2 linked regions of the Lepisosteus oculatus genome follow. The protein of the gene in region 2 interacts with the protein of the main gene of each other region in a pairwise test. Links are inferred from orthologs where the notes say so. Each region holds a gene or a part of one and is shown on either strand. Other genes may lie near its edges.

Region 1 (7,891 bases), on a different chromosome or scaffold from region 2:
TCAAGGCTGCCACAGACCAATCAAATTGAAGGTCTGGGTAGATACTGTATTATAAGTATTATAACAATATAAGATATTGTAACAAACGTGGTAGAGCTCGTAGAACATGGAATAACAGCAACATACACATAGAGCATACAATATTGTGTTTTTAGATTTTCAGATTTGATGAAGTTCCAAGAAAGATTAATTCTCAAACTGTTGGTGGTAGGCATTCAAGGAAATGCAGTAATCTAGTGTGAGAACTGAATAAGGAGAAGGAGGTAGAGTACAGATAAAGGGTAACTGTTCAGACTGGGGTGATATAGTAGGAAGAGTAAGATAGAGATCTGCTCTTGCTAATGTACTGTATGTGAATGATGTAGATTCTGGTTTAGTGAGAGTTAGTTATAACTAGTCAAGTTTGCAGATGATACCTAAACAGGAGGAATAGTAATCACTCTAGAAGCAAAACAAATAAAAAAGAATTCAGAGAACGTTCAAGACTGGGCAAACATCTGGTAGATTATATTTAATTTAGACATGTTTGTGGTTTTTGTGCAGGAAGTAAAAGCAAAGCATAAATACAAAATGGGAAACTGAGCAAGTAGAGGCTACTTTTAAAAGACCGAGGCGCTCACGCTAACGAACATTTATATCATCCAATGCTGGGCACCAATAAAAACAAAATGTTAGGCAATATACTGTAGTTATAAGTGCAAAATTTAAATAGAGGGATAATATTTCCACAGCTCTAGTAAATCCTCATTTAGAATAGTACGTACACTCTTTGGCACCAGGTTATAAGATATAGATATTGCTGCTCTGGAACCTGTCCAGAGCATAAGAGATACAGTACATTGATGAGATCCATGTATCCAAAATCCTCCAAGGCATCAACAAAGTCAACTTAGTGGACTATTTTTTAGTATAAATAGTGAAACACAATGTTTGTAAAATTGCATTTGAAACCAAGAACAGGAGACACTTATTTAGCAAAGGGTGGAGGGTGTCTAGAGTAAGTCTGCCCAGTGCTGTTGTCAAAAACGATAACCTGGCTTCTTTCCTGACATCCTTGAATCAGATTACAGTTAGCTACAACAACTGAATGGGCTACATGGACCAAATGGCTTCCCCTTGGCTGTAGCCGTACTCATGTTCTTATGATGCTGAAGATCCTTGTTTACTTAAGAAACACAAAACAGTCTACAGTAACTAATGCATCACGAAGCCAGACTTCTGTGATTTAACTTTTTCCTGGAAACTTTGCCTGGGGTTTCCGCCCTTGCCACTCCTGCCCTGCCAGTTCGTCCCTCACTGCCTGGGCACGAACCTGGGTCTCCACCGTCACGGAACAGGGAACTTGCCAGCTGAGCTAAAGGAGAACTCCCCCAGCCCGGGCAGCTGAGATCCCTGTTATATACAGGGGCGTTTCATTACACCTGCAATCTCTGTTTGAATTACACTAAGAAGTTATATGTATCTTATTTTAAACCTTTTCAAATCCTACCTTATAGGTATACCTTATTAAATATTTTAAAACTCTATAGTTGTTTAAACTCTGTTAAACCTAAATTGTCTAAGCATGTCAGCAATTCTGAGTGCAACACATTTAGGATGTCCTAAATATACCATAATATATTTTAGAAAATATTAAGAGAAAGGCATTAACAGATGCAACCAACATGCCTATTCAGTATATAAATATAAAGAGACAAAGAAATTAATTACCAGTATTAATGCTACCAGAGCAGTGGTTTTCAACCTTTTTTTAAAAAATCAATTAATTTCTAGAATCAAATTCAAATATCTGCATTTTTGCATCAGACGGTTGAAGTGAAGAGAGTATGAGGCTGTAGTCCTGTGATGTGGAGAAGGTTTATTGCCCTAATATTTACAGTGGGGGGGCATGCTGGTCACAGAGGTAGAGAAGGCAGGAGGAGAGACGATAAAATTAGACATTTTATTTATCATCTGGGCATTCACTCACAGACTGAGTCATTGCCCAACCCTATCAGATTTTACAACAAGCATTCATCTGGTGGTATATGGGCCACAAATAAGTGGGAAAGTTGTAACGATCTGACTTGATAACTACTTCCCAAATCAGTTTACAGCTAATAAGGATTTCAAGGTAAGCAGTATCTCTAAGTTTATAAGTTTTGGCAGGATGAATTCCTTCGCAGCAAAATAAACACAATTATACTTAGACTATCCTGGAAGGGGCCGTGAATCCTGGGTCCTTAATGGTGGTACCTCAGTCCCCTTCCAAGCCTCAAAGATTCCCTCCTGCTTTGTGAAGTGTCCTTACTTCTTTTGTGTTGGTCATGTAAAAAGACACTATCTTCACAAAGATCTGAATAAGGTCTTCTAATTTGAAAAGTGTAATAGATGTAAAAGATGTAATAGAGGACAGGCAAGGTTTTCCTGCTATGACACAAACTGGAATACTGCTTTTTGTTTTGTTAATGGGCGGATGTAGCTGTGGCTCAGGCAGTCTTCCAAGTTTCTCTGACTAGTTGACTTCTCCTTCTGATTTCTTCCTTCCTCTCAAAAAGAAAGAGGAACTTTCTTTTAAAACCCTAAGCTCCTTCTCTAGGCTCACACAAGTGTTACAAAAGATAGGACTAATTACCCAATTAAACTAATCAATCAACTTAAACCTGGCCTGGCTTCGATCATTGAAGAATAGTTAAATTCTCCAATATGAGACCTTCTGTGCCTTTCATTCATTTGTATCTACTGCTCCAAAGTGACCATAATTAAAACAATCACCCCCTGAATGCAATCACCCCCTGATGCAAGCTGCCATCACCTGTAGCTTCATGTTGGAACTCAACATGGGTTCAATTCCTAGGGTGTTATCTTCAGGGAGCTTTTATATTCTGCGGATATTCTCGTGGGGTTCCTTCAGCTGGTCTGGTGTCCTCCCACTGTCCAAAGACATACTGGTAGGTTAATTGGCTTCTGGGAAAATTGGCCCTAGTGTGAGTGTGTGTGTCTGCCCTGAGATGGACAGGTGTCTTATTCAGAGTGTATCCCACCTTGTGCCTGTTGCTTGCTGGGATAGGCTCTGGCTCCCAAGTGATTCTTAATTGGATGAAGAACTTAAAGGATGGATATCAGAAACTGCTAAGTCACTTTTTGGAAGCTGCCAGATGAGAGGTCAGCTATGTTTAAACATTTGCCCTCCTTTTTAACTTGTGGGTTCTAAAATATGTATATTGCTATAAAAAGCTTGGGAAATAGTTATTTGAATTTTGTGAAACACATTTGGCTTCTCCCTATTCCCTCTGTACTCAATAAAGCCCTAATTTGTTTAAAATTTCTATCATGTTTAGTCCACAATAACATAACAAATAGAGGTTCAGTATATGCCAGCAGCCATATCACCCTGCAACTTACTACTGACAACCCATTGACGCAAAGCAGGTGTCACTCTGGTGAGTATCTGGATGGGAGACCTCCTGGGAAAAGGTTAAGTTGCTGCTGCAAGAAGTGTTAATGGGACCAGCAGAGTGTGCTCCGTGGTCTGTGTGGGTCCTAATGCCCCAATATAGTAATGGGGATGCTATACTGTAAAAAGGTGCAGTCCTTCTGATGAGATGTAAAATATGACTCCTTGTGGTCATTAAGAGTAGGTGTGTAACCCTGGCGTCCTGACCAAATTTCCCCCTGATCTTTACCAATCATGGCCTCCTAATAATCCCCATCTATGAATTGGCTTCATCACTCTGTTCTCCTCCTCACTGACAGCTGATGTGTGGTGAGAGTACTGGCACATCATCCAGGTGGGGCTGCACGCTGGTGGTGGTGGAGGGGAGTCCCCATAATGTGTAACGTGAGTGGAATGTCCAGAAAAGTGAAGTGTAAAGAATTATTTGTATTATATAGTATAAATACCAGATAGTATATATTAGTATAGATATACTAAATAAACCGACCTGTAGATTTAAGTAGTATTTTGGCATGAAACTGTTATATCTGAAGTCCATCTGATCAGAAATGTTGAGTGCATTTTTTCTCTCTGACCTTCCGTCTCGGTTAGCGATATTTGTTTTTCCCTTGCGTAAAGCGACATCTAGTGTCAGAATAAAACGTTCCCGAGGTTCTGATATTCACGTGTAGTTTCAGTCCTCCACTGGGTGGTGGCAGCAGAGATTTTAACAGGGGGTCTTCATGTAACTCCGCTTTCTTTTTCCAGCGATGTCGTAAATATCTTCGTTTTTGAACGTTGTTTGATTGCGTTTGTATAAAGTCTGGTAGGTATTGTTTTAAATATAACCTAATAGCTAAAATATTTGAATTAAACGGTGTGGATTCTTAACTCTGGGTTTTAACCGTACCTGTGGCCCAGATATGGTTGTGATGTGCGGGTCAGTAAATGGAGTACACCGTTTCAAGTCCTTTTATTAGGAGAAATAAATATGTTCTTCTGCGAAACCTGACGTTTTGTTTCTGAAAGCTACTATATTGCGCTCTTTTGTATCAGTCGTAAGAAGGCGGTTATTGTTTGTAGGATTTCAATATGTTGTGCTTTTGTTATGATAAGCATGAATGGTGATGGCGCGCCACGTTTAGTTGAACTTAATCTTGTGAGTTTACAAGAACGTGTGTATTTCTTAAAGCTGTTAGTCATGGCGTATAAAAAAGTCCTGGGGAACGTTTTTACTTGTCTTTGCTTCCTTTATGTGAACATTTAATAAAGACGTACAATGTAATAGTTAATCTCTGTCTACGGACTGGAAGTCAAAATTGCAGTTATTCTAAAAAACTCGCAGTATTTATATGATATGTAAGGTGAAATATTAATAACTTTTTTAACATAAGTTCTATTCATAGCTCGAGTTTTGGGTAGTTCAACCATGATTAGCAAGTGTTGTGAAACAGCCCCTAAGTACTACAGTCATGTAAAAAAGAAAGTACACTATCTGTCAATTAAATGGTTTTACGTATCAGGGCATAAATAACAATCGTCTGGTCCTCACCAATTTCTGTATTTAGACAAACCTAGCCTCAGATAACACAACACATTACAGATTTCATTATGTCATTGTTTGTTCAACAAAAAGTAAGCCAAAATGCAGAAACCATGTGGGAAAAATTAAGTACACCCTTACTGCTTCCATAGGAATTAAGAAGGTAATTAGCAGCCAGGTAATGCTTATCAAATGCACTTGATTAGTTGATCAACAGGAAGCATGACCACCTCTATAAAAGCAGAAGTTTTGGCAGTTTGGTGATCTTGAGCATTCAGGTGTGTTAACACCATGCAAAGGAGAAAAGACATCAGCAATGAACTCAGAAAAGCAGTTGTTGCTGCTCATCAATCTGGGAAGGGTTATGAGGCCATTTCCAAATAATCTGAAATCCATCATTCTACAGCGAGAAGGATTATTTACAAATGGAGAACATTCAAGACAGTTGCCAATCTTCCCAGGAGTGGGCGTCCCAGCAAATTCATACCAAGGTCAGACCGTATAATGCTCAGCGAAATCGTAAAGAGCCCAAGAGCTACCTCTAGGGATCTACAGTCCCGGTTAACATGTTAAATGTTAAAGTTCATGACGGTACGATCAGAAAAAGACTGAACAAGTATGGCTTTCATGGAAGGGTAGCCAGGAGAAAGTCCCTTCTCTCCAAAGAGAACATGGCAGCACGGCTTAGGTTTGCAAAGTTGCATCTGAACAAACAAGAAGATTTCTGGAAAAGTGTGCTTTTGACAGGCGAGACCAAAGTGGAGATGTTTGGTCATTATGCACAACGCCATGTTTGGCGAAAAACCAAACACAGTGTATCACCACAAACACCTCATACCAACCGCCAAGCACGGTAGTGGAGGGGTGATGATTTGGGCTTGTTTTGCAGCTATAGGACTTGGGCACCTTGCAGTCATTGAGTTGACCACAAACCAAAGTATTCTAGAGACAAATGTGAGACCGTCTGCCCGACAGCTAAAGCTTGGCCGAAATTGGGTCATGAAACAGGACAACGATCTCAAGCACACCAGCAAATCGACAACTGAATGGCTGAAAAAGAAAAGAATCAAGGTGTTGGAATGGCCAAGTCAAAGTCCAGACCTCAACCCCATTGAGATGCTGTCTGTGAGACCTGAAGAGAGCTGTGCATAAACAGATGCCCTCAAACATCAGTGAACTGAAGCAATGTTGTAAAGAACAGTGTGCCAAAATTCCTCCAAAACAAGCGACTGGAGGAATATTTATAAGAGACCGATAAACTCATACAGGAAACGATTACTTCTGCTTCTGTAAGCTACTGAATCATGGGGTGGACTTAGTTTTTCACGCATGGCTTCTGCATGTTAGCTTATTTTTTGTTAAATTAAATAATGACATAGTGGAATCTGAGCTGTGTTGTTTATCACCTGAGGTTAGATTTACCTAACTGTAGGACCTGGTAAGGACCAGTTGATTTTTTGTTATGTCCTGATATATAAAACCATTTCAGAATTGAAAGAGGGTGTCCTTTCCTTTTCACATGACTGTCTATGTTGACTGCTGCCAGCCATGTCGCAGCGATGTAGTATTACAGGCTGTTGCATTTTTTGTGCAGGCTTTGTGAATTAGTATTCTCAATCTTTCTTTCAAAGTGCCGTTGGTCTGTTTTATCAAAAGATCCAATTTTGTCTCCAAGGTATTCCGGAACTAAAGGAACATGTCCCTCTATGATGACCTGGGAGTTGAGACCAGCGACACGAAAACGGAAGGCTGGTCCAAGAACTTCAAGCTGCTTCAGTCTCAGCTTCAGGTGAAGAAAGCAGCGCTGACACAGGCCAAGGTATGGGAGAGTACCGTTTCATTGGTTAGATCAGTTAATATGATAACGATATGAACATGATGTAGATGATGCATAGGTCAGATTGATTGATTTATTTATTCAGAAATATTTCTTTTAAATTTCATCAAGATTTTTTAATTAGGACCTTTGGTTGGAGCAGGGCACGAAGGAAATAACAGTAGAATGCACAGGAAGTTTTTCTTTTCAAAGCTGAAAATATTTTTAATGTAGTCTGAGGTGTGTTTTTGGTAAAATATGATGTTTAAATAGATTTAACACTTTTCCTCCTTTCAGAGCCAGCGTACAAAGCAGACTACAGTTTTAGCCCCGGTGATCGATCTGAAGAGGGGCAGCACCAGTGATGACAGACAGATCTCTGATACACCTCCCCATGTGGCAGCTGGCCTGAAAGTATGAACGTTTTGGGTTAATCTGGCTTTTTTACATTTTATTCTGCATTTGTTTTTAAAACAGAATTGAGAGCTTGACCTATGAGTGATTGAGTATTGTGGTTTGTATGGGCAACTCTCCATCATGGTAACTTTTTACATTTTAAGTAGGTAGTAAAGAATGGCCTTAGACAAATAAAACCTGCAAGGGCTAACCTACATTGATTTGTCAAATGTCATTTTCAAGTTTTCACCCTTTATTAAAGTAGTTACTGCTTTAATTAAAATTCTATAAAGTCAAATATAAATATTGCAAGAGGCAGGGCTTGACTTCACATGTGCCTGAGGACTATTTTATGTGTTTGTGAATTAAGTGAAAGAGGCATTGGAACAGTTATAAATGAGAGGAGGCCATTCAAGCCAATCTGGTCCATTTGGTAGTTAATAGTTTATTAATCCAGTGATCTCATCCAGCCTTTTCTAGAAAGAAACTTGGGCATCATATGTTCAGACTCCCACACCCTTTGCCTTCTGTTCTCAGTTTTAAATCACTTCCTGCATAGTTCCTACTTTTGTTTTCTGGTGCCTGTTTTGAAGTTGTCCACTGGGTTGCCTTTCAGTACTTGTATCAGTGCTACTATCAACGGAGACGGTTCTTGAATCTGCACGCTGTGTTTGCCCACAGTACTTTGAAAAGTCGTTATGACCCTAACCTATCTTTCACA
Region 2 (7,904 bases):
ATCCCGTTCAGGATGTGCATTGGAACTGAAATTCAGGGAGAGCCAGGAAAAGTGACCATTGTTACCCTAAAATATCTCCCCGTCTCTAGAATGGGAACCCTGGGAGGTTTCTGCAGAATATGCTTGTCTTGAGTGGGGGTCACCTATGGCTGTGACCCCCTTAGATGAACACAGTCCCCTCCTTTCTACAAACGCGAAGAAGAGAAGGGTAGCCCATCGCAGGTTTCATTTCCCGTTACAGGGTGTGTTTGCGCCACTTGACCAGCAGCCCCACTTCCTCATTTCCCCCAAGCAGAACATCATGTCCGGAGAGAGAAAAAGTGTGACGGCACTCTGTTCTTCTGACTTGTTTACTTTCAAATGTGTGAAAAAAATATTTTGGTACTATTCGCAGATTCTCTTGTGGATGTTGCTGTCAATCGGGAAGTCTGAGCAGCTTGTGCGGATAAGTTTAGCTAACAGAGACTAATCCGGTATTGAGACGTTTTGTCTTCTGTCTGTGGTGCAGTATAAAGCTGAGCAAGCAAACTGCCATGTTTGTGGTTTTAATGTTTTACAAGAACGACAGTATCCTACAGCAGAGCTGTGGGCAAGATTAACCTTGCTCCTTAGGGCGACGATCATCTTTTTATTAGCAGATTTCTAAAGTTATGTTTTGACAACATTACGGGTCATGAACAGACTGAGGTTGGCGAAGAAATCGTTCCAAAGTGAAACAGTGGGTAGATAGTGCGTATATCCTCTTGTACTGTCTGACCACACACCCAGGCCTAACCAGAATGATGTATCTCACCAGCTACACTGATTTCTTGTATGTCGTATAACTAATATTTGCTTTTTTGGCCTGGAGGATCATTGGCCTGGCGATAATTAAGTCGTCACAGAGGAGACAAAGCATTTGGTTAAAAATTCTGACTGCCAAGATTAATTTGTATTTAAGGGGAGGGCAGTAATGCTTTTTTAGGGGAGATCAGACTCTGGTGGATCTTGCAGTGCATTCACCCTCCTTTGGGTGGCGCTGTGGAGCCAAGCAGTGCCCAGACCAAGGAAGGGCAGTGCGGGGTTGCATTCTAACTCAGCTCATAACGAACTGGATAGTTCATTACTGGCTTAAAGGGGAACTGTGAGGCTATTTTTATATTTTTAGATTAGAAAGAATCTTTTTTTTCCCCTCCCCATTTATTCTTCTCTCTGGACCTGTGTTCTCGGACCCTCGTCAGGTTCAAGAGGAGAGGAGTTTATTGGCATGAGTACATGCAGCCGGCCAGGAGCCATGTCACTCTGCAACTCACAACTGGCAGCCCCACTGGAGCCCAGCAGTGGGAGCCTGGCCAGTACCTGGAGGGGAGACTCCTGGGAGAGCTGAGGCTGCTGCTGGAAGAGGTGTTAGTGGGGCCAGCAGGGGGCGCTCACCCTGTGGCTCATGTGGGTCCTAATGCCCCAGTGTAGTGACGGGGACACTAGACTGTAAACAGGCGCCGTCCTTCAGATGAGATGTAAAACCGAGGTCCTGACTCTCTGTGGTCATTAAAAACCCCAGGGTGTTTCTCGAGAAGAGTAGGGGTGTTACCCCGGTGTCCTGGCCAAATTTCCCCCCTGGTCTTTACCCATCATGGCCTCCTAATAACCCCCCTCTCTGAACTGGCTCCATCACTCTGCTCTCCTCCCCACTGAGAGCTGGGGTGTGGGGAGCGGACTGGCGCCTCATCCAGGTGGGGGTACACACTGCTGGGGGTGGAGGGGATCCCCATTGTGTCTCATTGTCGTGTTCTGTTCTGGGGGAATACACAGTACAGCACACAACACCCCCCTACATTACACAGTGTATTACAGACATAATAAAATAATAATAACAACAACAATAAATAAGTTGTGGACAACAAATATGTAGTAGTGAGAAAACAAACAACAACAACAACATTGGGTATTGAGTCTGAGGCCTTGTTGTTAGCAGTAGCCGTTGAGGACGCGGACTGGGGCCTGAGCACGGTCTTTCACCTTGACATTACATGTCCGTTCACAGCCCGTAAAAAAACCACACGGCTCATCACTGAAAGAACCGGTCGCGGAATGTCACTTCAGGCTACACGGGGAGGAAACGGTGAAATTACAAGTTGATGTGCTCAGAAGGTGTCTCTCTCCGGGTTTTCTAAACCGTTTGGGGGGGTATTTTAACCCCCAAAGTAAAAAATCTTTTCGCTGGACAGCGACGTTACGTCGAGTTCACTGTCATGGTAACGCGCGTTACCGCTCAATCCCGCTACAGGGCCGTGTTTGAAGTACAACGCAGTATTGGCAGTATTAAAATTTAAAAAGGCGTACTCAACGGCTTTGATTGATCGCTTGATTCCCGGTCCAGATGGCAGGAGATTAAAGATAAAAAAAAGGCCACTGTCCCAGTCCTTAATCTTATCCCTATTTATACCCCTGTTGCGTTTCTGTGTGCGATTGACTTTTAATGCAAATTGTAACACGGGTCGCGTCACACTGCGTAGACGTTACCTCTCGAATCTCTTTTTTTAAAAAATAAGTTTTTTATTTAACCCGAAATACAAAAGAAAAAAAAGGAGACGGAATATTGAAATAGATACAGAAATAGACACTTCGCAGGCCAGAGGAATTCACAATTGTAAACACTAAACATTATAGCTCTACAGGAAGGCCAAGGAAAAGAGACGTCGCCGGAGACCGTGTTGGTGGTCCAGCCGCAATGTGGTAAAATTTAAATTTAAATTTAAATTGTCAATGCAACTCTTTATTGCCATGCCAACAGCTTTGATCTGCCCCCCCGTGGATAGAAGCAAGGCAAACAACAGAAAACACATATTACACTTATTCATACTTCTATCTGCAGCAATCAGGATATACCTATCGAGGAACCTAACGGGCTCTAGGAGAGATCGGTGCTCAAGACCGTAGGAAAGTGGTTGAAATCTCAGGTCAGACACTGCTGCTGTGCATTTAAGGGCGGTCGTACTGTGCGAACTGACTCTGGATCGTCACTGGAAATGAGAACTTGTTCACCGTACTTATCTGGACCAATACGAGTAAACCCGGGGGGCTTTCGGCCCCTGTTTGAGGTCATTTGATTTAAGATAGCTGACCGATCACTCCAGTCGTTTCTGGTAAGAAGCCAGGGTGTCGATTTCACCACCTTGGCTGAGCGGTTTGTTCCACACTCCTACCACCCTTTGTGTCCCCGCCCGTCCTGATCCCAGGATCTTATCAAGTCGTCTCTTGAGAAATCTCCAGGGTGTCGGCTTCAGCAACGTGACTGGGCAGCTTGCTCCTCACTCCCACCACCCTTGGTGTAAAGAAGTCCTTCCTGTTCTGTTTTAAATGGACTCCCACAATGCTTTCAATTGTGTGACAAGGGATTCTCTGTGATTTGCTTTTAGGGATATCCTTTTATTAATTTTTTTATTGCAACCACAAAAAATTGAATACACAGCCGTACATACAACATAATCACTGCTGTACACACCTGAAGAAGGCTCCACGGCCGAAACGTGTTCTTTTTCTTCTCTTTTCAGCCTGGAATAAACCTATTACTTGTTCCTTTGCGGCCTATGCCTGCTGACGCAGCTCCCCATCTTAACTACTAACATAATCAAAGGTACATGATAAGTTTCAATTTAGAAAAAAATACTAAACTAGTTAACGTCAATTCTTTCATGTACGTACGTGTAGAACTGGTCTGGAGATATACTCTGATGTCTGTTTTAAATTGTTCAAATATGGATCTCTTCCCAGACCATTTCATTTGATGTATTTTTTTGTAAACATTACATTTGTACAGTTTTTATTTAAACATCAGAAATAAAATGTATATAATAACAAGCAAGTAAAATGATTATGTCAATAACAAATAATATTTTTGTTTTTCTTTACAATGGGATTCAAATATATATACTGTATATGGGAAATCCCTTGTGATTTAACTCGATCTCACTTGCACAGTGCTTACTGCCCGTTAATCTATACATGAAATGAAATGGTCTGAGAAGAGACCCACCTTTGAACATTTCAAAAGAGACATACCTTTCCTAAGAGGGCATACCTTCAGATATAATTTCTAAATGTAAGGACATGAAACCGTATGTGCGTATTTTATCTTTATTGACTTTGTTTCATCTTGTTTCGTAAAGAGCAATCGTGGTATGCCCCCCCTGATTCTGGTATATGTATGCTTGTGTATACTGTATGCATTTTGTTTCTTGTTTTTGTTATTGTGGCGACGCTTTTAAAAAAAAGAAAGAACTTCCACCGCACAGTCCGCCATTTTGAAGAGCTCGAAGACCGCTTTCCCGCCCCCCGCTTTCCCCACTTCCGGCGCACGACGCGGCGTCAAGCGACGCACGGGCTACGTGCGGCGTACGTGCGCGGAAGCGACGCCATTTGCTGCTGCTGCTGCCGCCGCCGCTACTGCTGCGCCGTGGCGGATGTTGGCTTTGCTTATAACAGACCGAGCTGAGCGGGAGAGGCCATTTTTTGTGTGTGTGTGTGCGCAAAACTTAAGGTAGCTTTCTTTTTTTAAACAAAAATTCAGTCATTGAGGCCTCGTCTTAAAAAAAACAGGCATAAAACGGAAAGTCGGGATTTGGTTGCGATAGAGCCCCCCGCGATCGCCGGAGTCGTCTTGGAGCCGCGCCGGGAAAGAAAACGGTTTTGTTTTTGTAAGTGAGCGGAGGAGGAGGAGGAGGAGGGAGGGTGAGACGGGCTGAACCGCCGGTTTATTGTTTTCTGCGCTTAAAACGTTAGCATACTGTGTGTCCTCGGCCGCTTTTTGGGGGTTTTTAAAAGCGCTTCCCCCGGCAGGTAGGAGATGGCGGGCGCACCGCGTTAAGGTCGTCCGAGTTCCCTGGCGGGAGGGAGCCAGTCTCTCCCTGGGCATTGCACGCAGACAATATTCCACGATTATTATATTTTTTATGGCGGACGTGCGTTATCGTACTTAGGTGTTCAGTTGTGTGTGAGTGAATCGGGGGGCGGTAGGCTTGTTTCTCGCTGCCTGGGGGACCTGCCCCTCGCCATGAGGCCCGTGTGCCTCTGCTGCTGCTGCTGCATTGTTCTGGACCCGGAGCTTCACCGTCCACCCCGGTGCACCGGAGTCCAGCCGGCTTAGAGGGGGCTACGGCCGCTGTACCTGGGTCTGGGCGCGCTTGGTTAATGGGTCACTCATCGTCGCTCCTGATGGGCGATTTAAAGCAGAAATAATACTTGCACGGAATCCAAAAAGGGTATTTTCTTGTTCTGGGAAGATGCGCGGCACACGCAACTTTTCGCCGGCGCGCTGCTACTTTTCCTGCTGTTGGAAGTCTGTTCCCGGTAGATTTGCGCCCACAGAAATAGGTCAGGCCGGCTGTGTTGCACAAAGCTTGCACGATGTTGGGTGGGGGGTAGTTTTTTTTGGGGGGCGGGGGGGGGGGGGCTTATATCCGTTGGATCGCTCAGTATCGTGACAAAGGAGCCGGGCGAAATGGCCGGTCTCACCCATGCGCTTTTTTTTTTAAGCAGCCCGGCTGTCGGCTCCGAATAGTGTGGCTGGGTAGGCCTGTTCCACCCCCCCACCGCCCTTTGTGTAACGTGCTTGGGGGAGCAGGGACCTGAGCGTCCGGGCTCGTAACTGGAAGGGTGTGGGTTCAAATACCAGGCGAGACCCTGCTGTCGTACCCTTGAGCAAGGTGCCACACTCGGGGAAAACTCTCCAGGAAAAACCCCAGCTCCCATACATGGGAACACGTGTGTGGTGATTTGGATAAAAGCATCGGCCTGGGTTTTTTTTTTTTAAAGTCATTTGTCTCCCCTGGATTGTGTTTTGCTGGTGGTTTTAACGTTTGAATGTGTTCAGTTCACGTCTTTGTGTTTCTGTGTGTATGCGCGAGTTGTTGTGTTTTGATAGCAATGCGTATGACTTGTGTCCAGATAGTCCTCACCCTCCTGCGCTGTGGTGTGTATAGTGTTGGTGGACCAGTAGGAGCCGTTTTCCCTGCTGAACCAGAATTTCCCAGTAATTACCCCCTCCCGTATGGCGAGGGGACAGTGTGCCGTAGTAGGTGCCACTCTTCAGGCGAGACGTGAAGGTTTGGACCACTGGGGTATTAAAAATCTCAGGACTGTTGGTAACAGTAGGGTGTTTATTCCAGTGTCCTGGCTGAACTCCGCTCTGGGCCTGTGCAGTTCAGTCCCGATACATTCAACAGGCGAAGCAGTTTCTCTCCCCTCCCCATGATCTGCTGTGTCTCCCAGGTGGGGGCTGCCAGTGCAGAATGATCACTGTGTGTCTCCCAGGTGGGGGCTGCTGGTGCAGAATGACCACTATGCGTCTCCCAGCTAGGGGGCTGCTGGTGCAGAAGGATCACTGCGCGCCTCCCAGCTGGGGGCTACTGGTGAAGAATGAGCACTGGGCGTCTGTATGTAAAGCAGTTAGGGTTGAAAGGCGCTCTTCAGAGGCCAGGAGTCCCCTGCAGTTTATGCTGTCTGCTGTTTTGCAGCGGGGCTTCAGATCCCTGCGTTGGTCCCTAACCTCTCCCCCACCCCCCTGCTTCCCTTCCCGCAGAGCGCCAGAGGAAAGACTCACCATGGTGAAGATCTTCGTGGGCAACCTGTCGCCCGACACCACGGCCGAGGAGCTGCGCGCCCTCTTCTCCCAGTACGGCAAGATCTCGGAGTGCGACATCGTGAAGAACTACGGCTTCGTGCACATGGAGACCAAGGCGGAGGCCGACGAGGCCATCCGCAACCTGCACCACTACGAGCTCAACGGGCAGCCCATGAACGTGGAGATCAGCCGGGGCAAGGCCAAGGCCTCCACCAAGCTGCACGTGGGCAACATCAGCAGCAGCTGCACCAACCAGGAGCTGCGGGCCAAGTTCGAGGAGTACGGCCCCGTGGTGGAGTGCGACATCGTCAAGGACTACGCCTTCGTGCACATGGAGCGGGCCGAGGACGCCATGGAGGCCATCAACGGGCTGGACAACACGGCCTTCCAAGGTGACGAGCCGCGGGCGGATTGGGGGCCAGCTGCCCCGTAGTGCTGGGTTGTAGTCGGGGTCTCCTGGCCTTCCTATGTTTGTGGTCTGAGGGTGGGTAGGGGTGGGGTGTACCATCCCACAGACGGGTTGGGGGGGGGGGGGGGTGGAGGTGTGGAGCGTACCATCCCAGTGACGGATATGATTGGGGGGGGGGTGAAGGTCTGGTGTGTACCATCCCAGGGACTGGTGAGGGAGTGGGTGTAGGAGTGGGCCGTACCTTCCCGGGGGGGGGGGGGGGGGAGTGGGGCCTACCATCCTGGGGACAGGGGGGGAGGAGTGGGGCGTACCTTCCCAGGGACGGGGGGGGGGGGGGGAGTGGGGCCTACCATCCTGGGGACGGGGGGGGGGGGGGTGGGGCGTACCTTCCCAGGGACGGGGGGTGGAGGTGTGGCTGCAGCAAAACCTCCCCAGGTTTTCTCCCGTCGCGCTCCCAGCCCTCGGCGGTTTCTGTCCGCCCCCGGGATCGGACGGGGCCGGGAGGGAGCGGTCGAGGAGATCGGGATGCTTACTCGCACCGTACGGCCCGCGAGACACACGCCACTGCACCACCTGTGGGCCGCGCGTTCCGAAATTCCGGAAGAACAAATAGCGTCCAGGGCGATGAGTGTGGTATTCCGGGGCATTGCCGTTGGCTGTTAAGGGTTTCCTTTCAGTGAAAGGGAAGTTCAAGGAAATCGTTTGTTTTTTGTTTGAAATGGCTTTTTTCCCCTGCGGGTCTTGTGTGGGTTTGGATGTCAGCCGCGGGGTGGGGAGCCCTAGGTGTGAAGACTCCACGGGGGGGTCGTCTGTCTGTCCCCCTGCTCCCCCCACCCCCCATTCTTTGTCCTCGTTTTTTTTTTTGGAAGGAATGTTTCTGGGGCTTTGCGGTAA

The links. The genes of interacting proteins can lie anywhere in the genome.
Region 1: the proteins of sf1 (region 2) and rbm17 interact in binary tests that used the Homo sapiens proteins (3 or more experiments, as listed by UniProt). The link is inferred for Lepisosteus oculatus from reciprocal best matches to the Homo sapiens genes SF1 and RBM17.

The regions. Positions count from the first base shown.
Region 1 is NC_090702.1:43,508,980-43,516,870, reverse strand, and holds the start of rbm17 (splicing factor 45), read left to right. Parts: upstream 1-4,140; 5' UTR 4,141-4,241; intron 4,242-6,633; 5' UTR 6,634-6,654; coding exon 6,655-6,777; intron 6,778-7,071; coding exon 7,072-7,188; intron 7,189-7,891. UniProt on the Homo sapiens protein: Splice factor that binds to the single-stranded 3'AG at the exon/intron border and promotes its utilization in the second catalytic step. Involved in the regulation of alternative splicing and the utilization of cryptic splice sites.
Region 2 is NC_090713.1:21,526,070-21,533,973, forward strand, and holds the start of sf1 (splicing factor 1), read left to right. Parts: upstream 1-4,398; 5' UTR 4,399-4,442; coding exon 4,443-4,519; exon of another isoform or gene 4,520-4,676; intron 4,677-6,559; coding exon 6,560-6,993; intron 6,994-7,904. UniProt on the Homo sapiens protein: Necessary for the ATP-dependent first step of spliceosome assembly. Binds to the intron branch point sequence (BPS) 5'-UACUAAC-3' of the pre-mRNA. May act as transcription repressor.